Mytilus edulis: one gene and its partner. The protein of the gene in region 1 binds, or shares a complex with, the protein of each later gene. Links are inferred from orthologs where the notes say so. Each region holds a gene or a part of one and is shown on either strand. Other genes may lie near its edges. The genes, in order: protein unc-80 homolog and protein unc-79 homolog.

The links.
Region 2: the proteins of protein unc-80 homolog (region 1) and protein unc-79 homolog are in contact, whole or in part, in a cryo-EM structure (PDB 7W7G), measured with the Mus musculus proteins. The link is inferred for Mytilus edulis from reciprocal best matches to the Homo sapiens genes UNC80 and UNC79. Residues at the interface, in NP_780719.2 of Mus musculus: Gln23, Thr24, Trp27, Ser31, Leu34, Arg35, Pro36, Ala80, Pro83, His84, His87, Ser94, Asn95, Asn180, Ala183, Leu187, Phe190, Leu191, Arg337, Leu340, Gln341, Pro342, His343, Arg1317, Asp1320, Glu1321, Asp1324, His1545, Val1546, Asp1547; in XP_030102533.1 of Mus musculus: Thr120, Tyr123, Ser127, Ala130, Thr131, Leu168, Ser169, Ser172, Met175, Ile176, Gln179, Tyr180, Tyr207, Tyr211, Gly212, Pro213, Ser214, Val390, Cys391, Glu394, Glu402, Phe405, Arg472, Cys541, Asp917, Phe920, Ser965, Glu966, Phe967, Ser968.

Annotation. Positions count from the first base shown.
Region 1 is NC_092345.1:26,664,851-26,677,658, forward strand, and holds the start of protein unc-80 homolog, read right to left. Parts: upstream 5,345-12,808; 5' UTR 5,158-5,344; coding exon 5,075-5,157; intron 337-5,074; coding exon 288-336; intron 1-287. Other genes in the region: 26S proteasome non-ATPase regulatory subunit 5-like, read left to right, coding at 5,377-5,558, 6,747-6,891, 7,610-7,748, 12,436-12,539. UniProt on the Homo sapiens protein: Auxiliary subunit of the NALCN sodium channel complex, a voltage-gated ion channel responsible for the resting Na(+) permeability that controls neuronal excitability.
Region 2 is NC_092346.1:71,309,579-71,322,669, forward strand, and holds the start of protein unc-79 homolog, read right to left. Parts: upstream 6,065-13,091; 5' UTR 5,963-6,064; coding exon 5,941-5,962; intron 5,272-5,940; coding exon 5,151-5,271; intron 4,543-5,150; coding exon 4,382-4,542; intron 4,081-4,381; coding exon 3,910-4,080; intron 3,336-3,909; coding exon 3,249-3,335; intron 1,502-3,248; coding exon 1,446-1,501; intron 1,094-1,445; coding exon 964-1,093; intron 447-963; coding exon 382-446; intron 1-381. Other genes in the region: cilia- and flagella-associated protein 36-like, read left to right, coding at 6,341-6,440, 10,119-10,183, 10,912-11,022, 11,445-11,650, 12,255-12,390, 12,861-13,046. UniProt on the Homo sapiens protein: Auxiliary subunit of the NALCN sodium channel complex, a voltage-gated ion channel responsible for the resting Na(+) permeability that controls neuronal excitability.

The DNA of each region.
Region 1 (12,808 bases):
TTTATCTTATAATAATTTGTATTCTGTTACTTTCTTTGGCTAGTACCGTAAAGCACATGAGCAAGCTTTCTTTTTTATACACAAAAAAACATAATACTTTTGTTCATTATGTGCAACTCGAGTTCTAAGTACTGTATAATTTTTTTTCAGACATAACAAGTTTTTAATGGGATATATATCCAACACATTTGCAAACTATTATTAAAAGACTATTTTTTTAAATGTTCACATACATGTATATATACATGATAAATTTGTATCTGCAAAAATTATGTTATTCAACTTACAACTACAGCTGCTTCACACAGTTTTCCTCTCTTTGGTCTTATAAATGGACTGCAAAAGAAAATTTATGTTCAGGAACAGAAAGACCAAAATCAATTTAAACATCACTTTTTGTTACTTACAGGTCTCGTTTCTCGTTTCTCATTTTTTTATTTTATATAGATAAGACCGTTGGTTTTCCTGTTTGAATGGTTTTACACTAGTAATTTTGGGGCCCTTTATTGCTTGTTAATTGTTCTGTGTGAGCCAAGGCTCCTTGTTGAAGGCCGTACATTGACCTATAATGGTTTACTTTTTTAAAATTGTTATTTGGATGGAGAGTTGTCTCATTAGCACTCACACCATATTTTCCTATATCTATCTACAACTTAACAATAATACAATTTAAAATCTTGAAATTAAATTGATTCTTCATTTAGTCACAGTTATTAACATTTAAAAAATTTTGTCAAACGTTTTGAAGTTATTTCACGGACAGTGCTCTAAGTATCACTTCTCACTACTGAAAGGTCTACAACTCATATGATCAGGATCACATGACTCAATATCCATGAACATGATGAAAGCTAAAATGAATAAGTGTCTGTTAATTAACCCCATGGTGGCAGCCCGTTATCATATTCTTGACAAATTGAGCCAGTATCTTTCATTTCTTTTAGAACTCATTTAGGATATAAATGTGCTAATTTCTCATTTGATATACTGTCAACATGATTGATATAAAACATATAAACACATGACATGATGCACCAGTCACGTCTGAATATTAAATCACATAGACCGAAAGCTGACTGCAGGATTTAGGCCTTACCTGTTGTTAGTTTGGCAATAAGGGAACATAAAAGGGGTCCAGTTTAACCGTGAAGGGGCCTATTGGCAATCCCATATATTATGGATTTGTTTATATAATTTGTTTATATAAATAGGCAGTGTCTGAGCATACATTGTACCTGCATGCGGGTACCAATAGCCAAATTTTTCTTTGTAGGGTATGCGTTTCTGCATCAGGTTTAATAATTTCATGTCATTGGATTGGGAATAAAATGTGAAATGAACCCGGAAGTTTTCGCAATCCCAGACATATTTTGTTAAAAATCATGATCCCGATAAATTTAAAAGTTTAAAGTTTCAATGCTTATGATTAATGTTCAAAGTCTTTCAGCTTAACCAATCCGAATATGTATTATCACTGTTACCGTGAAGTCAAGCTGTATATAAGCATTTTTGTTCACCAAAATCTTCAGTAGCCAGTCAGAAAATTGGCCAAATTCCAGTTCAAGTCAAAACAAGAATTTGGCTTGATAAGAAACTGGATGCACACGTTTAGGGGGAAAAAAGGGGGTAAGGTTTTGTATATACAACTTTAATAAAAAATCGAACGATATTTTCAAGTTGATTGAATGAATACTTATTAGTACTTTCACAGAAAGAGATAATTTTCTACATGTACCTATCAAATTTGATCTTTCAGTTTGAAGGAATGTTTTCTCGGGATCCCATTGATGCTGTGTATAAATATACTTTTCCTTGGTCATCTTTGTATTAATATTTCTCCCCATCCTTTTTTCACAGGCCGATTCATTAATTCCCCAATAATTGATAAGGCCAACTAAAATCAATTAGTAGATTTTCATCCAAATTTTTGAAAAAAATGGGGCGGGTGGGAGGATTTTATTTTTAAAATTTTATTTCATATGAAACCCTCGTCACGAGTTCTTCATACCGCAGGGTATATGCTAGTGGAAAACAAGCTTGTATAATGTATATACATGCCGTAAAAGGAATCCTACACTATTTTTTAAACTCTTAAATAAAAATCCCTGATTGGCAACCACTGTTAAACATGTAATTGCCGCTTTAGAAACCTATTTATAGTATACATCAAAAAGAAGAAAAATGCCCCCTTCAGTTTGACTATACCTACACCAAATTTATTTTGCTTTCTAAGCAATGGTTTTTAGTCCCCATAAAATCAATAAAATGTATTGGTACAATTGTATGCAACACAAGTATTATGAGTACAGAATAAAATGTAAACTCAGTATTGAAAGTACAATGTAAAACATGAACTTAACCGAAAAGCAGTTTAATGACTAAATTGAGGGTATTGGGATAGTTACAAAGGGTGTTTGCTGTTTGTCAACAAAAACAACAGCCATGGGTAAATATAAGGGCTTGTTATAATTAAAATGCGTGTTTGTCGACTTTTTTTTCTCAATATACGGTCATAAATCAAACAAGTTCGTGCTTGTGCAAATTTCTTTAATACAGTCATGTTTTTTGTACCAATGTGTTCTACGATTCTTGCGCTTTGGATATCATTCACAGTCCAAATTTCCTGACACAAAGTCATCGTATAAATAAAGAAAAAACACGGTTTTCGATTCACTAGTGACTACTGCAATTTGCGTTCAAGGACAAGGCGTTTTACTCGTAACTCGAATATTTCACGCCCTTCTCGTTATCAATCTCTATTCTCGGTAGATGATGTTGTCATTATAGAGCAGCAGAATATGTCGACTTAATCATTTTTGTTAGATTACTCGAAGAAATACAAATACGAAATTTGAAACAGGAAGTTTTGAATGAAACGAAATTATCGATGGTTCCCGGTAACGGACATGAACAAAATCCGGAAATATTTTTTTTGTTAAATAAAAAAAATCAGGGCGGGACAATTTCAGAGGGGCGGGCGGGGATGAAAATCTAGCAATTAATTTTAATTGGCCTAACATATTTTTTTAATTTGATTAAGTCAGTGAAGCTTTCGCTGTCCTTTAGCACAATGTTTGTTTTTTCCTTAAGGAAAGCCAAAGAATGTTTGTCTTTGTGGAACAACAAAAGGGTTCTAATTGATATAATTTGAGAATCGTTTAATTAACGGAATAATTAAAGACCTGATCCGAGCTCAAAGCTGTATCTCTAAACGTACTATCACATGTACTTTGATTGATTGTTGGTTGCTTAATGTCCAGTGGCAAATACTTCATGCATATTCCAGACGAGAACAAGTTCACAATAAGTACAATAGGTAGGTCTTGTCATTAAAGAGGCCCTTTGGAATGATGGTCGGAGATATTTGGACTGCCACTGGAAAATGAGGGTAGATTAGATAGGGACAGAAATTTTGCCTTGCAACAGGCCTCAAAGAGTTGTTGCAAGGATTCTTAACATGCACAGAGTGTGGCACTCTCTTTACATGAGGCATCCGATTTAACGTCCCCATTCTGACCGACGTGACTGCGAACTTGACACATCCCGCACAGCCAACTTCAGCAAGCGTTTTACTGCCGTTTTGGAGAAGACCAAGTGACCTCAGTCACCCTTGGGGTTTACATGTACGTATACTCTGATCTGGATCTACTCTGTTTCTAGATGCGATTCTGATTGAAGTATAATGAACATGGCACTTTGTCCAAGGTACAGTTGTTTGTCAATCCCGTAATATTTCAACATAATAATCCCACATTCCTGTGGCTAAAAACGTGGCTTTCCTGTATCCCAATGTTTTTCTATCCCGAACTCCCGATCTTTAAACAAGGCAATCCCGATTTCCCATTGCTAAAATTGGCCAATCCAGGCGACCCGAAAATGGTCTAGCCCCCCCCCCCCCTAGAAATGACCTTGGTTATTATTTTAATATCTTATTTAATATTAATTATAATTATTGATATAATTTGATATACACCATTATTTTTTAGAAGATAATCCAATTAAAAAAGTATAACAAACAAGTGAAAAACAATACAAAATTAGGACAGTTCAAGTTCTTGAAATAAATAATCATAAATATGTGAATATCAAATGCATCTAGTTTTAGGCATATGAAATTTTATCTTATCATCTTCAATTATGTATACACTCAAACTTTATTTTAAGTTGTTTTAGATCATATTTTAAAATTTATGTTTCCAGCATGTCCAGGTTTCTGTTCTGAATTTTATTAGAAAATAACTTTCACACAAGTTTTTTATTAACCATTGTTAACATACAATTATTCAAATTCAGTATAATTTTATTCTTCTTTTAATGTGCATTTACGTTTAATTTCTATTTTTTTTTTAAATAATACATTAAACACAAATTATTATTTATTATTTGCCATTCTTTGAACACTGAATTCACAAAATCCGTAAATAACTGATTTTTTGGGGTATCTTCATGATCTTTTATGTTCTATTCCTGATCATATGACCGTTTATTAAAAAATCGGTTGCGGTTACGCATAGCCTAATATGATGGCCGAATTAGCTATGCGTACCGGCATGCGGGAACATGCAGACACTGCCTTGTTCATTGAACAATAAGAATCATATTAAAAATTTGGGTGGTTTCTGTAACTTTTGTAAATATTTATATCTTCTACTTCTACTTCTATGTGGTTAATCTGCAGTCGGAAATTCCATAACGCAAATATACTGAACGCGTGTGTCAACCAGTACACGCCAAGTTAAAAATAACAAACTTTGTGTATTTACAGGAACAAAAACAAATAAAATTATCATATAATTTTTAAACATAATTAACGTCTGCAAAATTAATGGTTACAAGATTTAAATTTAAAGTGTTGCATAAATGGGTGCATTTGAACTCTTTGTTGTGTTTATATTAATTTATACATAGAGTGCTCCCCCTTCAGTCTTGACATTTCAATCAATGCAAATGGCACCAAAAACTTCTTGATTGCTTTGTGAAAACTAAATTTTTGGAAAAGAAACTTTCAATAACATGATTAATGAAGAATATGTGGATTAACATGATTAATGAAATTAACATTTAATACGCCCACCTTGTTTGACGCCAGAAAAAAGCCTGGATAGGCAATGGAATCGATTGATCATCGTCACCAGACAGATTTTTACGCTTAGGCATTTTATAATTGCTTCTTCATTAAATATTTACACCCTTCCATCTTTAATTTTCTGTTTCGCATCAAAAATGGCGTATGACTGGAACTCTCTTATCTGTTTATTGATCTGAATCGGCTGCTGAAGCTGATTGTTTTGATCAGTATATTTTTAATAAAAGAGTCCGAGATTTCCGAGAAATGTATATCTACATTCGACACTCTCTAGACTGTTCATCGTAAAAATGGCGGCAAATGTAGACGACATTTGTCGGTCTTTGGAAACGACAACACTGTCAACAGATGTTTTATCAACATTGGTTGAGTTGAAAGCAGCTTTATCATCTGTCAGAACAATAAATCTACACACAGTAGTCTCAGTTTCATCTGTACAGAAGTTATTTGGCTTGTTAAACACTGATGACGGGTTTGTAACTCATGTTTTTACTTCAATTTTGCAAGTCATCCTATACTTCACAATATCTCCATGTATCTCCAGCGTTGTACAGTTTAGGCTTATAAAGACTGATCTCCACAGTATTTGCTTACATCATTAGGAAGGTTGACTATCTATGTATAATTTACATTAGACTAAATTCAAGATGAAAATCACTTGTGTTAATATTGAGTTAACATGGTTAAGCCATTTCCTATTGATATTTTATAATGTGTCTCAAATGTTATACCATTTGTTTCAGGTACATGTAAGGGTTAAGGTTGGTATCTTAAAACGTATAGCCCTTAACTCATTGCATTTGTTTGCACCTGTTCTACATTTTTTTTAAATTAGGAACCTGATGTTCAGCATGTCCAGTGGTTGTTGTTTCTTGATGTGATTTATACATGTTTCTTGTTTTTTAATATAAATTAGACCTTGTTTTACCTATTTGAAAGATTTTACACTAGTCATTTTTGGTGCCCTATATACAGCAACCTTAGGGTTCCTCTTCACCATCCTCATATACATGTATTGTGTTATAATCTCTATTATTTCTGTTGCTGCTTCCTGTTATTTCAGCATAATAATCAGAATAATAGATTTATTAGAGTTTGCTGTTAGGTAGAAGCCAAGGCTTCATTTGGAAGACCAAACTTTTACCTACAATGTATTTATGGTTTACTTTAATTTTACAAATTGTGTCTTGGATGCCATGAGAGTTGTCTCATTGTCACTCATACATTTTTTGTACCACATCTTATTATATCTACTCAACATTCAATACACTTGATATAGGAAACAATTCAAAGACTCCTGACTTTGGACAGGCACTTTTTATAAACTTAGACAGTGGTGCATAACAATATAAACATGAGAAAAAATATAAAAATCAGTTGAAAAGGGCTTAACTCATCAGATCGATAAAACATCAAACTAAATAAATGAATTTTGCAGGTTATTAATACATCTCTTACAACAAAAAAGACACAAAGCACAGATCATGCAGATCTAAGATTGTTATGTTTCTATTAACATGATTAAATTAACAGCTTGTTCAAAACCAAAAACAATTTTTTAAAAGATAATCTGAAATTAGAATAGATAGCTTCATATATTGCATTTAAATGTTATTTTATTGTTATGTTTAGTGACTGTTTTATTGTTTTTTTCTTTCAGTGAAATCATTGAAGAATGTTGCAGTATTTTAAAAAATGTTTTGCTAGCATGGTCACCTGCTGTTGGGTTGGACCTATTCAAAAATGATTTTGATATAGGATTAAAGCACCCTTCTACCACGATACAGTGTTTATGTTTAAGACAGGTAACATTCTTCTATGTTTTAGTAAGGATTATTTATATAGATCTATGTCCACTCATGTTGGATGAAGGGGCAATTTGATAAACCTTATTGCTATTTAGTTCAATCCAGGAAAAACAGTAACTTGGACAACTTCCTGTTTGGGTCGAGTGAACCAAGAACAAAGTTCATCAGTAACGAGATGAGGGCAGAAATGTTTAGAAAGTGAACATTGTGAAATTTGTATAGTTTATGAATGAAAGTAAGAAAAATGCTTTGTTCGAAGTGTTTGCAAGGGTTTAAACACAACTCTTTGAAAATTTGCATGCACAGTACATTGTTTATACAGGGCTCCAGATAGCTTCAACTGGTTTGAAAGAGTGGACAATATTTGAACTTTTTGGATTGGAATAAATAGCGATTTATAAGGTTTATTGAAGCTCAGTGAAAAGATTTTAGAGTGACTTAATATTATAAGAATACATCAGTAGCTTCTTAAATTGAGTTAATAAGATAATTTTTATGATAATAAAGTTACCAAGTATGATACCATACCATTTTTTACCAGAAAAAATAATTTCTGGGGAAGCCCCCCTCCAGTAATGTTTTATTGTGCACATACATGTACTTTCGACTTATATAAACCCATACACCAGTCTTAAGGCTAAATATTCAGGCATATGCTTGTGAATCATTATGTTCATTTTACTGTAATCAATGTCCTTTAAAATCTTTTTTTCAGCTAAAACTTGCTGGAGAAGATGACCAAACACTTTTGAATTGGGATTCAGCAAGAGATGTCATCAAAACAGTGATCAATTTGATAGCTAGCCCATCCCTTCAGGTGGCAAAACATGCACAGAATGTGATACTTAATATTAGTATGTTGTCTTTAACTTAAAATCACTTCAATATCTCTCTATAGATGCTATAATGTGCATTCATTTATTATACAGTTAACTCTCGTTGTCTCGAACTCGGTTGACTCGAAATTTCGGATGAGTCGAAATTTTCACGTGGTCCCGAACTTTATTCCATACAAAAGTATGTAATTCGACTCCTGATGAGTCGAAATTGGATGAGTCGAAATTTCGGTTGAGTCGAACTAAATGTACGGTCCCAAGGTTAACAAAGCATTCAAAATTCATTTTTTATCTCGAACTAATACACATATATGTCAAAACATGACCTCCGGGATTTAAATGGATTGAAGAGTTAATCTGACAATACACGTGTAATTAAATTTCCGGTCACTGACCACTGTATTGATTTATGACATGCTATTTCCATGAGTGTTTACCTAAGATTATCTTTTATAGAATTTTGATAAATAATTAGTGATACATTGTTAATGTTCATGAAAAAGTATTTAAAATGTTTACAAAACAATTAATTTGTGATTTACACTAATGAGCTTGAGTGTGTATAAAGTGAGGATTGTGGCTTCCGTTGATGATCACCTAAAAACTACTCAAACGGCGTCTTCAATCTTGTTATATTTTCTTTTGAAAAGAAAGAGTGAGATAAAACAAAATGAATAGAAATCAAAATTTTCTTAAATCTCTTGTATCCGAGAATAAACAATTTTGTCAGCTATAACCGACCTGAATAACGAAACTATCGATTGGAAATTACTCTCTTGGAAAAGCCATAGCATTTTTTTTTAATTGAAACAATTGAATAAGTACAAATAATGTCATTATAATAATAAAAGACTGTGACATACAAATACATCGATCTGATACTAGAATATCGATCCCCTTGCCATATTCAGCTGGATTTATTTAAGCTTTACCAAGCTAAGCAAGAGTTGTGTCCCTTAGATTGTCGAACTTCCGGTGTTCGTTTGAGTCGAACTACGTGTAATATTTCTCTGGTCCGGCTGACTTCGACATAACGAGAGTCGACTGTACATGTGCTATGACTCAAGATCACACTAATATCTCTATAGTGGGAATCCTTTAATGTACAAAAAATGTACCTGTACCTGTACCTTTATAGTCCAATCAAACTAAGTTTGAACCTCAAACTAATTGCAGAAATGTTTTAGTTCTAATCTATAGCATTAAGCCCTAAAAATACACAGAAAAAAGTCCAATAAAATCTAACTTGAGGAAAACTTAATATGAGCATTTTTAATTTCTTGTGGAAATTAACATTGGAAAGGGAGATAACTCTGCAAAAAATAGTCTTTTTTTGTCAGTTTTTGGTTGATTTTCTTAAAATTCATGTAAAATATGATACTTTGATGGGGTTGTAAGTTCGTATTTTACTATATTATATAATGTTCAGCTCATAAAATGTACATATGATAACCGATGTATTATGGGTATTTTTTTTTTTTTGCACATTTTTCATTAAAGAATTTGCAAATTTATGGCTTTGTGACCAATTTGAAATAAATAATGTGAATATTTGGTATTGTTTATAACTGCTAAATATATTTGTTCAGCATCTACCTTTTTAAAAGAAACTGTAAACCACAAAAAGAAGAATATATATGCTTAATTGCAGGGCTCACGCTACCAGGCGACTTGGGCGAAGAAGTCGCCTTCCCCACTGTCACTTCGCTTTCCCCGACCCCCAAAAGCGAAATCAAGTCGCCCTGTTCTTGGCGATACTCGCTTTCAGTCGCTTCCGTCATCGGACATTTTCAATTTTTACCAAGTTGATGAAACATCAATTTGTTATTGATAATTAAAGAAATTCAGACATAAACGATTCATTATCTTTAGAAAAGAGGTTGAAGCATTGTCTTCGCAGTGTGCAGCAGGTTATTTGATAAAAATACAACTTTTTATCACTTCATGCATTTTCGCAAGTTCCGGTGCTTGTTACTCGAAAACGTACATCAACCTAAATTTCGGCGGCAAAATAAGTTTGTTACTTCATTTAAACGTGAAAAAGTTGCCTCCAGTAAATGTTTAATCCATTTATTGCATTAAAAACGTCATGTTCCTTTTCAAATAACTTGTCAAACATCGTTTATTTTTGTAAATTTTCTTGCATTTGTCCGCCATTGACCGATTTCTAAACTACGGATCTGAACCGGACCAGCTATGACTGAAATCGTACTTTTACAATAATTACTACGGACGCACGGACGGAACAGTTGACAGAAGAATATTGATTCCAAAGGGAAAAATTACGCATTCCACACACATAAAGAGACTTTTGGTTACATCTAATTGATTGGTGTATATAATTCCCTATATTTTTTTATGGATTGTTTCAAACTATTGATTAAAGTTGCTTAACTCTGAGACTATTATACTAATTTCAATATATTATGGCCCAGCTTAATAACTTTTATATTTTTTTATGAGAAACACTGAATTTCATACACAAGATAATTTTTAATTAAATTGTAATAATGATATATTATAATTTCTTTACATTTTTTAAAATATTTTTTTTTTTTAGTGCTAGATATTTAGTTGGAATAAGTTTCTCACAAGAACCTTAGTAAAACTTAAACAACTTTTAATTTCAAATGTTACTTTAATTGTAATTTTTTTACTCAGATATGAATTGAACAATATAAAAAGAACATTATTTACATATGGCCCTTTATACTATTGTAAAATCCAAACATTGTAGCGCACCGCGCGAATGAGCACTTCTCTTTCAAATCTCACCACTTCTCCCTATCAGTTTCAAAAAGAGAAGTCACTTCTCCCTATAATTCTGAAGTAGTGTGAGCCCTGAATTGGTTTTATTCAATTTGAGATTCTTTACTTTGACATGCTGAAAAATCTTATAAATGGTTAACCAATGAATTATGAAATCTAGGTTGTAGCTTGATAAAAGATATGAAAACACCTGTTTTTTGTTATACTCTAAAGACCACTATTTTTTAAGAGTTATCTCCCTTATCAATGCAAATCTCCATAGGAATTTTAAAATCATGAGTTTTTAGATTTCCTCAAGTTAATTTTATGGGACTTTTTTTTGAGTGTATTTGGGATATAATGCTAAAGATCAAAACTTTAAAATCTTTTGTTGCAATTACTTCAAAGTTAGGGTCAAATTTATGATAGATTGACTGGACTTTTATAGTTAGAAGGAAGCTTACAGTAGTTGTCAAGCATTTTGTCAAGTGCCTACTATAAAATTGAAAATGGAATGGGGAATGTTTTAAAGAGACAACAGCCCAACCAAAGAGTAAAAAACAGCTGCAGGCCACCAATTGGTCTTCAACACAGGGAGCACATCATGCACCCAAGGGCGTGCTTCAGCTGGCCCCTAAACAAAAATTAGTACTAGTTCAGTGATAATAGATGTCATACTAAACTCTGAAATACATAAATGATCTAAAACTAAAAATCATACAATACCAACAAAGGCTAGAGGCTCCCGACTTGGGACAGGTGCAAAAATGTTGTCAAATATGCCTGTATTTTGTAATGCTTGGCTCTTTTTACAAAAAAATCTTATGACAAAAATCAATGGTACTAATTTCTACTAAAATTTAACCGATGAATAAGGGTTTTTATTTCACAATATTGTTTGCTGAATGGGTTGCTGGCTGAACTAGAGGTGATTTTCGGTAGATAAGTGTAAACTCAATAATAATGACTAAAGGGGGCTCACGGGTTCAATCGATTTTTTTTAAATATAGGATTTCGCAATTTTTTCTATAAATGAACTTTATTATATACTTAATAGAAAAATCAAATTAAAAAATGGGGTCACCATTCTTTTAAGCTCAAGCCCTGCTTAAGAAGCATGCATTTTGTTCAGGTACTTTATTTCTGTTGAACTAATAAAAGACATATAGGTAATATCGGAATAAAAAAAGAACTAAATTACAGAAATCACCTCAATTTTACTATTGTTTAGAAGTTCAGCTTATTTGAAAATAATATTAAAAAAATATGATGTGTTAAAAAAGATATTTCAATTTTAATGCAAAAAAAAATGGCATTTTTGCATCAAAGGGAGATAATTTTGAGCTTTTTCAATGATATAAACATTTTAAAAGACTTCTGGGGCTAAAACAAATCAATTTTTTTGGTTGATTTTTGTATCCCATGATAAAGTGAAAAAAAATAGTGTTATAAATAAAATTTATAATGAAAAAAAAAATCTGAATTTTTGTTCCCTCGATCCTCTATAATAAATTTATTTATCCTGATTTAGAATAATTTCTTGCAATTTGATTGGCTGATATCGTCCTAATAAATTTCAGTACAATTTTTTATTACGTCAATAGGAATTATCTCCCTTATTTGTTACGTCAATTGAGATTATCTCCCTTATACCATTGACCTAATAAAAAAGAAAGAAAAATTGAAGTTGCCTTATAAATAGTCGTGATATTTTAAAATTTTCAGTTTTAGATTAAATATCTAAAATATATTTGGTTGATATTGTCCTTATATTGAATTTGAATATAATAATTTGTAATATAACAACATCAGGATAAATTCCTGATATTAATTTTATTGACCCGATAAATTCCTGTATTAGGACAATTGCACACTGTGTAACTAATCTCATTCCTTTGACTAACTTTCACAGAATGTTTTACATATATATAACACTACTCTTGTTCTTTTTTTGAAGGCAGAACAAATGATGGTCTGGATTTTATCTACTCCTCAGAAATGTTATCATCTCTACAAGAAGTCCTCCAGACAGATGATACTGTCAAATTCAGAGTTTATGAGGTATTGTTTTACTGTGTATAATGTGTACAGTGGAATCTGTTTAAACAGAATCTCATTGGTTTGGTTTTCAATTTTATATATAAATTGTGAAAGAATATTCACATGTTACTGTTTAGAACTAACTAAGTTTCATTGATAAGTAGGAAAAAATCTAACCAGAGATGCAACTAATCGTCGGACCTAAGGGGCAGAATTTATGCAGGTCCGGCAAAACTCGTAGCTGTGCAGGACCTGATGGCCGGCAATATTTAAGTCTGCTTGGGTCCGCC
Region 2 (13,091 bases), on another chromosome or scaffold:
CATGCATTTTATTTAAAATAATTAATTTTTGAAGTAAATAAGTCATTTTCTTTATTTTTAAGAACTATATGCTATTTTACAACTTATCCATTAAGCTATGTCTCATATTAAATTCAGAAGGTTCAACCTTTATGTGAATGGAACCCATACATTCATTCTATCATTGGCTGCACTGCCCTAACAAAAAAGCTTTAAATCTTGATCAGCAGTTCCTAAACATTTGCGTTAACACACCCTTCCCCCTTACTGGACATCATTTGGAGTTGAATTAGTAAAAGTCTGCATTAACCATCAATCAATCTCCAAAAGAGCGGATCATTCTTCCCCTAATAAATCAATCCCAGCAGTGTACAATAATACACAAAAATATTCTATTGGTACCTTAACAGCTTGACAGTTTCCATTGTTTACACATCCTCTCCTCTGACAAAGAACTGGTGGCCATGCTGAAATCAGGTATTACATAGATTAATTCGTATCTTATTGATTAACCAAACAGTGTTTTGTTTTTATAGTTGTTATTTTTTTAAAACACATTTTATCTTTGCTTAAAAGTTTACTTTTAACATATGAACTAACTTTCAAGTTGATGTAAACACAGCCACGGGTAAACTACCTTATCCTAAAACCTTTTTACATTTTTGTTCTTAAAATTTGGTTGGTTAATGATTTTGTCAGATTTTGAAATCTCATAACAATTCTGAACTTTTTAAAATTATCATATGATAGTTAAAAGTCTTGTATAGAACAATAGCATACAGAGTACAAATTTCTATTCTCAACACAGAACAATTCATATTTGTGATTTCTGGTCCTTATGTAGATGACTATGCTGTATGGGCTTTGTTCATTGTTAAAGGCCCTATGGTGAACTATAGCTATTAATTTCTGCTGCTTTGTTCTCTAATGGAGAGTTGTCTCGTTGGCAAAAATATCACATCTTTTTATTTATATATAAGTTACCAATATATTTATAGTGTATCCCTCTCCTATCAGATAATGCCGGGTTTAATTGTGGCCAGTAATAGAACAGAAGATTAGCTGCAGGAGCTCTGGCCGATGGTGGTCCATATGCTATTATACTCAGTATATCCTGAAATAACAAACATGTCATGAAAACATAAAAACATATTTGAATGCAATTTATGGGTACATGACTATGCATATTTATGTAAAATAATGCTTTTGTTTAACCCTTAATTTACTGAATGTGTAATCATTTAAATTTAAATAAACACTAAATTGCCTTTGAGTGGTGAAATAATGTTTTTAGAGTTAACAAAATAAAGTAAAATAGTATTTCAAAGAGGACCTTTCCTTAAATGATTCATGGGAATAAAAGTATTTTGTAGAAACTGAACAATACATTTTAATGACTGTTCAATTTATTGTGTAGAAAACATTGAAGAAAACTATTTCACAAATATGTTTTAGTCTATACTGACCTTAACTAGATCTCTCTTGATACTCATGAAGCATTCTAGTATCTGTGAGTGATATGCTGAAAGTCAAAGTTCTAATTTTAATCCAAGTATCAAGATACCTATATAAACTAGAGGCTCTAAAGAGCCTGTGTCGCTCACCTTGGTTTTTGTGCATATTAAACAAAGGACACCTATGGATTCATGACAAAATTGTGTTTTGGTGTTGGTGATGTGTTTGTAGATCTTACTTTACTGAAAAATCTTGCTGCTTACGATTATCTCTATTTAAAATAAAATTGGCCCATAATGTGACAGTGGAAAATATTTTGTAAAAATTTACAAAAATTAAAAAATTTATGAAAATTGTAAAAAATTGACTATAAAGAGCAATAATTCCTTATGGGGTCAATTGATCACTTTGGTCATGTTGACTTATTTGTAGCTCTTACTTTTCTGTACATTATTGCTGTTTACAGTTTATTTCTATCTATAATAGTATTCAAGATAATAACCAAAAGTTGCAAAATTTTCTTAAAATTACCAATTTAGGGCGAGCAAGCAACAACAAGTTGCCCGATTGGTCTGAAAATTTCAGTCCAGATAAATCTTAACCTAATGAACAATTTTATACACAGCAGATTTGCTTTAAATGCTTTGGTTTCAGAGATATGAGCCAAAAACTGCATTTTACCCTATATACTATTTTTAGCCATGTCGGCCATCTTGATTCGTGGGTGGGGTCATTGGACACATTTTTTAAACTAGATACCTTTATGATGATTGTGGACAAGTTTGGATAAATTTGTCTCAGTAGGTTCAGAGGAGAAGATTTTTTAAGAAGATAACAAAAATTGACTATAAAGGGCAATTACTCCTTAAGGGGTCAACTGACCATTTTGGTCATGTTGACTTATTTGTAGATCTAACTTTGCTGAACATTATTGTTATGAACAGTTTATCTCTATCTATAATAATATTCAAGATAATAAACGGCAAAATCTCCTTAAAATTACCAATTTAGGGGCAGGAACCCAACAACTGGTTCTTCGATTCATCCAAAATTTCAGGGCAGATAAATTTTGACCTGATAAACAATTTAACCCTGTCAGATTTCCTCTAAATGCTTTGGTTTCAGAGATATAAGCCAAAATCTACATTTTACCCCTATGGTCTATTTGTAGCTATGGTGGCCATCTTGGTTGGTTGGCCAGGTCACCGGACATATTTTTTTAAATTAGATAACCCAATGATAATTGTGGCCAAGTTTAATTTAATTTGGCCAGGTAGTTTCAGAGGAGAAGATTTTTGTAAAAGTAACGACGACGGATGCAGGACGCAGCTGGACGACAAGTGATTAGAAAAGCTCACTTGGCCCTTCGGGCCAGGTGAGCTAAAAATGTAAATAATAATTCAGCAGAACTCTGTGCCTAGGTTATCATTGCTGCTTTCTATGTTTAGTATCCTTATGGAAAACAACTCAAATTATTTTATGATTGTTCATCTATTGTGGTAAGTGATTTCAGCATTTAACCCTATGAATTAAGATATTTATAAACTGTCTTAAAATGATATGTATTGTAATACATACTGTATTGTGACAGAATTTCTATTTTTCTTTTCCTTGTAATGCAGTACATCTATACATGTATTTTGCTTTAAATGGTCCTGATGAAGGTAAATCCAGAAAAGCGCTTTGGATGCATGAAATTTTTAATGTGTTGTTTACATTTTTTCAGTAATTTAAATTAAATTATCTTTTGTAGGTATGGTGTTATTGTGAAAACTTGTTTTGTTTCCTTTTTTCTACTATAATGTATTACTTACAACCATTATCTGTGTGCTGTAGAACCATTGTTATTATTGCTGCAGCTGACTCACTGGCATAGGTAGGTTCAAATCCTCCATCATACCCTACAATATAAACAAATGTTTTACAACTGTGTGTTATGGATGGATGAGCTATTATATTTCAATTATACTTGTAAAATCATGATACAATTTCTGCCCATATGCATAAAAATGTGCCATTCATTTTTGCCACCTTGAAAGTCAAAAGGTAGTTTGGGCCTAGCTGTAGGACTAAATAGTTTATTGAATTTTACAGTAATGTACAAAAGTATTTTCATGGGAAATGACTTAATACATCAGAAGTGAAAGGGATATAAAAATAGACTTACAAATATAAATATGCAACATTAATAGTCTTTGCCTGTATAACAGATAGTAGTTCAAGCACATTTATGTCCAAATTCCTGTGTCAACGAAACAATATTTATAAATGATTAATCAATTGAACATGTGTATTTGTGTTGTGAAGGATAACAGCAGAGGTAATCAAGTTAGACATGTTAGACTTACTTAGTGTCATCAGTTTCTTATATTGTATGACTCCTTCACATGATTATAATATCTTGTGAGTCACAGACGAGATATCCCAGTTTAACTCTGGGTAAATAGATGTTTCTGCCTTTCTGCATTAACTTACCAAGTGTCATCGGTAACATATTACTACACAATAAGTCTATAGTTTCTTTGTGTAATGTAGGAGGAAATATAGCCAGGGTAGATGCCACTGTATAAGGGAGAGAATCCAATAAGTCATGCTCAAGGAAGGGAACAAGACAACCTAGAACTTTCAATACATTCTCTCCAACTTCTGAAAAGATAAAAGAAATATTTGTTTTATATATTAATCATATTTCTTATCAATGCTTTTTTGGCTGAAAAAATAATAATTAAAAAATTAATGGCATAATTACATGTTGGCAAATGATATTTTCTATTAATCATTGTTTAAGAGTCATACATGTATGTCCTATTTAAGAAATAATCATTGTTTACACATCATATATTTTTGATTTAATGATCATTTAACAATAATCAATCAGTTTCATATAAACTATCATTTTAATCCATAAAAACATAAGTCTTTTAAAGACATCATCATATAAACTAACCCAACTGCCTTATTTGCATAGTTGGAACTAATTCTATCATATCCAGAACAGCATGATAAAGTCCTGTGTAGTTCAGGTTGGGAAACACTGACAGTCTAACACTGTCCCTTTGTCGTGGACCGTAACTTTCAGCTGGAATGTTGGGTACATCTTTCAGCACACTGTAAAAAAGGGTAACTGATCAAGATATATCTATAAGTTGTACACCAAGTTACACTTTTTTTATTTAAAAAAAAAAGTCAATGGTGGTCAAGTCAATTTCACAACTTATCATAACATGGCAAAAACTACATGAACTAGATCTTGATATAAATATGATATTAAAACAACCTTAGAATGTATTAAGCATTTATCCCTTATTTTTTTAAAACCAAAAAACGTATCTTAGTACAACTTAGGTTTAGCAAAATGAGTTTTATGAACTAGCATTATATAAACAGAATGTATCATCTCAATCATGCTAATCTTTGCCTCAAATAAAATTGTTCAAGTGGAGCCCTTGCTGACATGTCAGTTTTCTAGTTTCATTTGAGCAAATTCTTGCAAAGCAACTTATTCCTTTCTGCAGACCATTAATTGGTTGATACAAAACTTATTGAAATTGAACACTCTTGTAGTACATGCAGTTAGTTGCATAGATGAGATATAAACCTGTCAAATATATAACAGTTTTATAAGAACATGTGTATTTGAGTCATCTTATTGTGTGACAACTTCATCCAAACTCATGAATACATTTGTACCTTAAGAGTGCCCAACAATCACTTACCTTAGCAAAGTCTGTGAGAAATATTTCAGTGTATTTTCAATTTCATTTCCTGCTGGTAATGGCTGTACATTATTTATCAAACGAGATCTGTAATCTTTCAAGTTCCGTATTTTGGATGTAACTACAACAAAACATTTCAAATTGCAATCCAAGAGCTGTATACTGTCATACATGTACATGTACAATGTATGTGATTTAAACTAGTTATATTCTTCCTTTATTTTAACTTAATTTTGTATATACATTGCATTGTCATATACATGTACATGTACTGACAAAAACAGACACAACTTTTTCTTTTTTCTATTCTTAACCCTTTTATACAAAACAGAGTCAGTATAACTTAAGTATTCATTTGAAATTCTATTTAGACAATTATTTAAACTTTATTTTGATTTCTACTAACTTGACCTTAGTGTTTGTTTGGATGGTGTGTACTTTGTTTAACCTATTTTTAATTTACATTACATGTATGTCTGAAAATTATATTGTGATTATTCTGCTCATGTTGGGCGCCGTGATTGGCAAATAAAATATTTGTTTGTTTGTTTGCATTACTGTACTGTTCTTTTTTGAAATAAAAGTATAACTTGATTGCAGTTTGGGATGTATTTTGCATTCAACATCTGTAATTGTACATGTAGCCCCTGGATGTTTGTTTGCCAAAAATTTGGAAAATAAGTTCGGTCGATTTTGATTGAACCCTGAAAAATGCAATTATTTTTATAAAATATTATTTGCATCATTAATTTCCTACGGCTATGACACACTTTAACTGAAATAAACTTACAAGTCGCTGCTCTGGTCGTCATGTTGGTAAGATTTTAATAATATATTGTCCTGCATACATTTCATCTCGGCATCTTTATGAAAGGGTAAAAGCCGAGTAACCCGAATGAAAATGCTGCGGATGCAGAGCGGTGTCAGATAAAATAATGTCAAAAAAATTGTTCCACGTTAGTAAACTAACAGTAATATTCTTGAGTAGAAATATTGATTTATGCATATTCTATATAAAAATTATGTTGTTTTTGTATAAACATTTAAATAATAAACATGATGATTATTCTTACAAATTTCTTTATAACATATTTTTCCAGAACAAAATAATCTGTAAGAAGTGTTCACAACACCGCTTAGATTCTCGGGTAACTACGCGAGACTTCCTTGTTGACAACTCTTTTTCCAAAATGGCTAGGTCAGACTGGGTCTACGATGAACTTCTTACATTTCTTGGCAATCCATTATTTCAGGTTCCAGTTTTAACCTTCATGGAAGCAAATTGTATAAGTATGTATTTTTTCAGACAGTCACCATAGTTGTAGGAATAAGAACTAAGTTTAATCCAGTAATGTTAAAAGTGAACGAAAAACCAACAAAGAGACACAAAGATTAAATGAAATTTCGTGTTTTAGTGTTTAACCATTACACCTTATCTCTATTCCTGGATGACCTGGCCGCTTGAACTTTTGACCTCATGCAACAATCACTTTTCCATTTGTGGCGTCAAGATTTTACGGTAACCTGTGTGATATCCAGTAATGTCGGACAAATAGCGATAAGGTGTATGGCAATGCCCCATGTAGCTAGTCGCCCAAAGCTGTTTTGCCAGACAAGCTGAAGTAGGGATGCTCGTCCCATGTAAAAAATAGGTATAAGCCCTTCCAAAATAGTAGTCCGAGATTACTCTGACGTCCAACGGCTGTTTTGCCAGACAAGCTGGGGCCGTGGGACGTCAGAGCTCGTCCCATATCAAAAAGTGGATATTTGCCCACCCAAAATAGATGCGCTGCCTTTCATTTTCAAAGATTATCACGTGACCACGATAAAACAATGATGATTTATGCAAATGACCATAATGTAACACCTCGTTCATTTACGATGCAAGTTATCTAAATGTGCGAGAGCTTCCGATTGTTCTCGTGGTCGGAACTAAATGCTTAATACCGATCTCCTGTAAAGGAGGTGAAAAATCGTGGTTGGCTACTAAATGTTAAACATGGATCTCCTACAAAATTTGCATATATTTGAGTCTCGAGGCCACGAACTCTCTCGTAACTTGACGTCCATTTGAAAGTGAAAGTCAAAATGCAGAAATCGATGGGTCTCTGTGAACTGTTAAAATATGGAAAAATAAAAGTTGGCAGGTAGGTGAAACTTACATAAATGAAAAGATAAATGAAAAATGAACAGATTGATGCCCGATTTATATAATTCCAAGGCCATCAGTCGGCACCAGAAGCGACGAAGCAGCGCATCTATTATGGGTTGGCAAATATCCACTTTTTGATATGGGACGAGCTCTGACGTCCCACGGCCCCAGCTTGTCTGGAAAAACAGCTGTTGGACATCAGAGTAATCTCGGACTACAAAAAAGATGAGCCGTTTCGTTGATTCTGGAGCCAGGTAGGTAGGTAAAACTCACATAAATAGAGACATAAATGAAAAATGAACAAATTCAGGTCCTATTTATATTGATCCAATGCTGTCATGATAATGGACATCATACTAAAATTCAAAATTTATAAAAGAAACTAAAATTAAAATTCATACAAGACTAACAAAGGCCAGAAGCTCCTGACTTGGGACAGGTGCAAAACTGCAGTTGGGTTAAACATGTTTTTTGAGATCTCAATCCTCACCCATACCTCAAGCCAATGTATAAAAAAACAAACACACAACAATATGCATGTTTAAAATATTGTCACTTTTTTTTCAACATTTGCATTATACTGTCAAAATTACTAACAACATTGAACAAGCGGGACATATCTTTGTTTATTATCATATATACTCAGGGGCGGGTCCAGGATTTCCAGTTAGGGGGGGGCGAAAAAAATTTGGAGTTTTTTTTTAGGTAAAATTATTGAAATATTCTTCTAAAGGGGTGAAATGTAGATATCTCGAACTATTGTGTGTTAAAATTAGTGAGGAATTAAAGTATCAAGCTGAAACCGCCTTAATCCACACCTGACAACAATCTACAGATAAACGGGCGGACAGAAGGATGCAAAGTGAGACGAGACAGATCACAATTGCTCACCTGACCAATATATTATTCAAACGAAAAGTTCTACTTTTACCAGCGATTTTTAATTGTCCTTTCGTGCTATCTGTTTTTTGATTTTCGGAGGTCGTGCCAGACTTAGCTGTGTTCGCCAAAAACAACTAAAATCAGAATGAGATGCATTTGCGCAGTTATATTTATTTTCTTGGGAGCCCAAGCATACAGTAATACGGTACAGAATTCGGCTAAATATTTAGGTTGCAAGTGAGAAATAAATATAGACACAGAGATACAAATTAATAAACTAACCTTTCGCTTGAAACAGTATTTCTATCTTTCATTACGGATATTATAAAAGAATCTCACCTGCCGACTGTTTTCTTGACTGTGTCATGATGAAATTATGAAAGTGAGTAAGGGATGATTTGAAACTTCAATTATCAAACAAATTGATTATAAATTCCGCAAATACAATGTAACTTTGTTTTTACTTTTAACTTTTAACAAACCTATTATATTTGTCATCAAACGCAGCTCTGCATTTGAGACCTTCCTTTGAAATTATTTATAGAACCTTAATAAAGCATAGGTCAGTTGATTAGTAATCACGTTGATTCTGTTGAACTGACTGTTTTATATACTTTGAATGTTAAAAAAGATTAAATGGTCTCTTCTGATACTTAAATATGTTGAAGTCAACCCATGCTTTGCAAATTTTAGGGGGGGGGGGGGGTGCACACCCTGCCTAAATCCCCCCTGATACTGTACTTTCAAAGTTGTAATTTGAAGTCAATATTTGAACAGTGAATTTATACATTTGTATCATTTTTAAATCAAAATCACTGTTAAAACTGTACTTTGTTTATTTAAAACTTCAGTTCTAAAGTGATATGGAGGTACATTCTGTACTTGAAACATGTGATTTTAATGTTTTCAAAAATTTATTGATGAACAAATGAACTCAATAAGCAAATAATAAATTTGAAAATTTGTTGAACAGGTTTTTTTCCAAAGTAAAGCAAGTGTTTGATCTTTCTTTACTGATTTAACCAAATCAAATGTTTGATTCAAATTTTGGATCCATGGGGGCAAAGCTCTCTTTTCAAAAATCTAAATCAGCCAAATTGATTAGTTTAAAGCGAAATTGGAATGTATATTTATGAACAACTGGACTCGCTATAAAACCTGACTTCCTAAATTCCTAATTTAAAAAATATACAGGTAATAACACTTCAAAATTCTAATATCAGATTTTGCATTTGTTCCAGAAATATTTACTGAAAACTATCTTCAGTTAATACGTCAAACACAATAAATAAATTGAAAATAGCTCCAACAGATATAAAATGTCAGGCTTTTATGTTTTCCCCTGACATAAAATGCAAATATCAAGTTTATTACATAATAAAAGTAGCAAAATTATACAATAGCTATTATATTAATAGAATTGAATTAATTATCCAGACAAAATCATTAATGAATCTAATCAGATAATTCTGTCATGTCTGTTGTACAAGTATGGATTTTAGAGACAAATAATTATATAAGCTTTGGTATTGACTCTGTACACAAAATCATACTTAATATATTAAGTCATGAATTATTATAGCTATGCCTACACAAAATCTGTTAGCCATAAGATATTGATAGTGCAGATACATTGAAAATTATTTATCTGATTTTGTGTATTAAAATCCAATGTTTATTCTCATTGTAATTTGAAAAACTACATATAAAGTAAACATTGTAAGGTATAAAAAAATTTAAAATGTAGTATAATTTCCAATGAAACAACTCTCAACCAGAGACCAAATGGCATAAAATTTAACAACTATTTGTCATTGTACAGCCTTCAACAATGAGCAAAACCCATGGCACATTACATGTTACGAAAAAATGTAACAATAATAAATTGAACCTAATTATAATGGTTGGTACTTAACAAGCAGCTATGATTTCAGTTTTTGACCCCAGTATAGAAGACTGTAAGGAGTACAGAGAACAGCATACATCATATCATGATTTGGTAAGATTTATATCACTACAATGAAACCTGTCTGTACAACTCTGGCATTTCTAAAGATCATTATTTCATGTATTTGGTTTAAAATGTTTCACTGTAAATGAAGAGAATTATGAAAATGATATTTACAGTGACTGAAAGGATAGTGGTGGAAAGACAAGGAAAGATAATCAATTCTTGTATTGTTCAAGGGCAATTTATTCAAATGAACAAATTTGAAAAATAAAAACTTTTGTTTCTTCAAATCAGTGGGGGGTTTTAGATAGTGTAGCCAGCAAAAAATGACTGTTCTTTTAGGTAGATAATGAATTTATATTTATTTTCTTTTTACATGAAAGATGTTTTGGAGTTTTCAATGATCTTCAATAAACAATAATACATTTGTACATCTATACTTAATTTAATGCATAAGACAAAGGGCTAAGAAACCTCAATAGAAGGCAAGGCGCCCTTCCCCCCAAAAAACCCCAACAAAAAATAATATATAAATAAACATATAAAAGGAATTGAATAAAAAAGAACAGGATATTCATCTGAATGAAAGATTTTTGTTTGCACAAAAAAATGCATTAAAGTCATGAAAGTCTCTCATTGTATTTTGTGTTTTATAAAATATGTGCCAGATAATTTATTTATTTATAGATAAAGAATATACAAGTTGAATTGATTATGTTAATGGTAATTGTTTGAGAGAAATTATTATTTAAAGAAAATATCTGTTTGATTTTCAGATAAACACATTGTTAGACGGCTTTAGGAAGGATTCAAAACTGTCTCATGAAGATATCATCAATGCATTTAAAGAAATGAATGCCAAAGATGATCTTAAAGAAATATTTCAGGTACATAATGTTTTCTTTATGGGTTAGATTTTTTGTTTTATTATAAGCTTACTTAAAGTTTTGACAGGTAGGCTTGCACTATTCTCATCACTTTGGGTCTGTCAACTGGTCAATAAGCGGAATAAGACAATGACATGAGTCAATATTGTCCAAATCATAAGTAAACCTCCTGAAAAGTAGTTATTGACATTAAGATCATATTGCTAAGTATTCTTCTGCTATTCATATTTGATATTTGCAATTTCTCTATATCTACTATAGTTTTTGCAAAAACACTAAAAGTTGATAAAAATCATCATTCGTTAGACTTTGACATCATGTATATCCATGATTTTTTTAAGAGCTTCTGTATTAAGTAAGAAATAATTAAATATAACAACAGAATATGAATTATTAAGATATTTTTATTTTATTGTTTTCAGGTGATATTTGAAATGGTTTTAGCAATGGATGATTTTAGTATGTTTGTTAGAATAATGACTTTAAAAAATATTGAGCTCCAAGAGCAGGTATTAAGAATGATGGCTAAGACTACAGGCAGTATACCAGATAGTTTTACAACCGCTCCTCCAAAAAAAGCAAAAACTGCAGAAGAGGCAGAGGAAGAACTCCTGGCTAAAGTTATGGAGTAAGTAATATTCAGGGGTACTATTCCAAATCTTTTGTGTGTCAATCAGGCCAATCAGGATTTCTTGTCATAAGTCTCAACAATGTTTCTAAACCTATAAAAAAACAGAGTTCAGGGTAAAAATTAAGAAATGGTGAACTTAGGTCTTGGATATAGATATTGAAGTGCATTACAACCCTTCACTCACTCCTCTTATTTCGGGTCATATGCCAATATGATGAATTAAGAATTAACACCTTCTTAGCTTTGCATACCGGGTAATTAAATTCAACTATATTAGGCTTGTAGAATGATTATTTACTTATTATGTATAACATTATAAATAACAACATTATATTATAGATAATGATACTGCATCAACATAATGATTGGACCTTGTTTGTATTTTAAGAGATGCAGGAAATTTGATAACTAGAATTTTAATTTTGAAATGATGACATAGAATTTTTTGGTGAAGTGTATGGGAAGATTTGAATAAAAAACTGCAGGAAAAATTGAATTGCCTTTCAAAAGCATTCAGTTGAAAGAAGTTAAATATTTACTCATATGAATGGATTGTTCTTTGTAAAAATAACTTATGACCTGCATCATTTTTCATATATAGACAGTCAAAAAAAGAATATGAAATTGAAGAAAAGAAGAGAAAAACTATGGAAAAAGAGGAATTAGCAAATGTTATGGTATTAGAACAGAACCGATTACAAAATGAAAAAGTAAAAGAACACAAAAAATATGAACAGGTAAAGTATTTCATTTATTACTATTAAATAATTCATTATCAGGAAAAATTAAAACCAGCTTGGCACAGCCCAGTATTCTGTCATGTACATTACTTTCTATCCTGTATATGAACAAAGTATTCTCAAGGTGATATTTAAAAAAAATATTGGACCACTTACTAATGATAGTGCATTAGATTAGAAAGGAGAAAATATATTACATAATATATTCATCTTCAGGAGGCAATTGATAAGGGGGAGTGAAATATATTGAGAGGCTTCATATGACATTGAGCGTCCTCATATCCAGCACACATAAAATGTTTGAACAAAATAATTGAATTGAACTTTGGTGTATAGGACCCAGCCGTTTGATAAAATCTATATTCAGATAGTGATGTTTTAGATATTTAATGATCATTTTCCATTCATCATAATTAGAATAGTAGAGTCTTTGAATGTGAAATCAACTTAATATCTTGTTTTTCCAGGCAATTCAAGACTTATCTCAGGGATCAACACCAACCAAACCTGTCCAAGATAAATTGATTGCCTTAAGTATATCTCAACCAAAACCACAGGCTACACAGCCAACCCAACCACAACCGGTGGCACAACCTGTGACCAGCAAGCCACCACCAGCAAAACCAGTAAAGCAAACAGACTTGAAAGCAGCGGTAAGAAATATGTTTTAGCGCAAATGGGCAAATATGAGATAATGC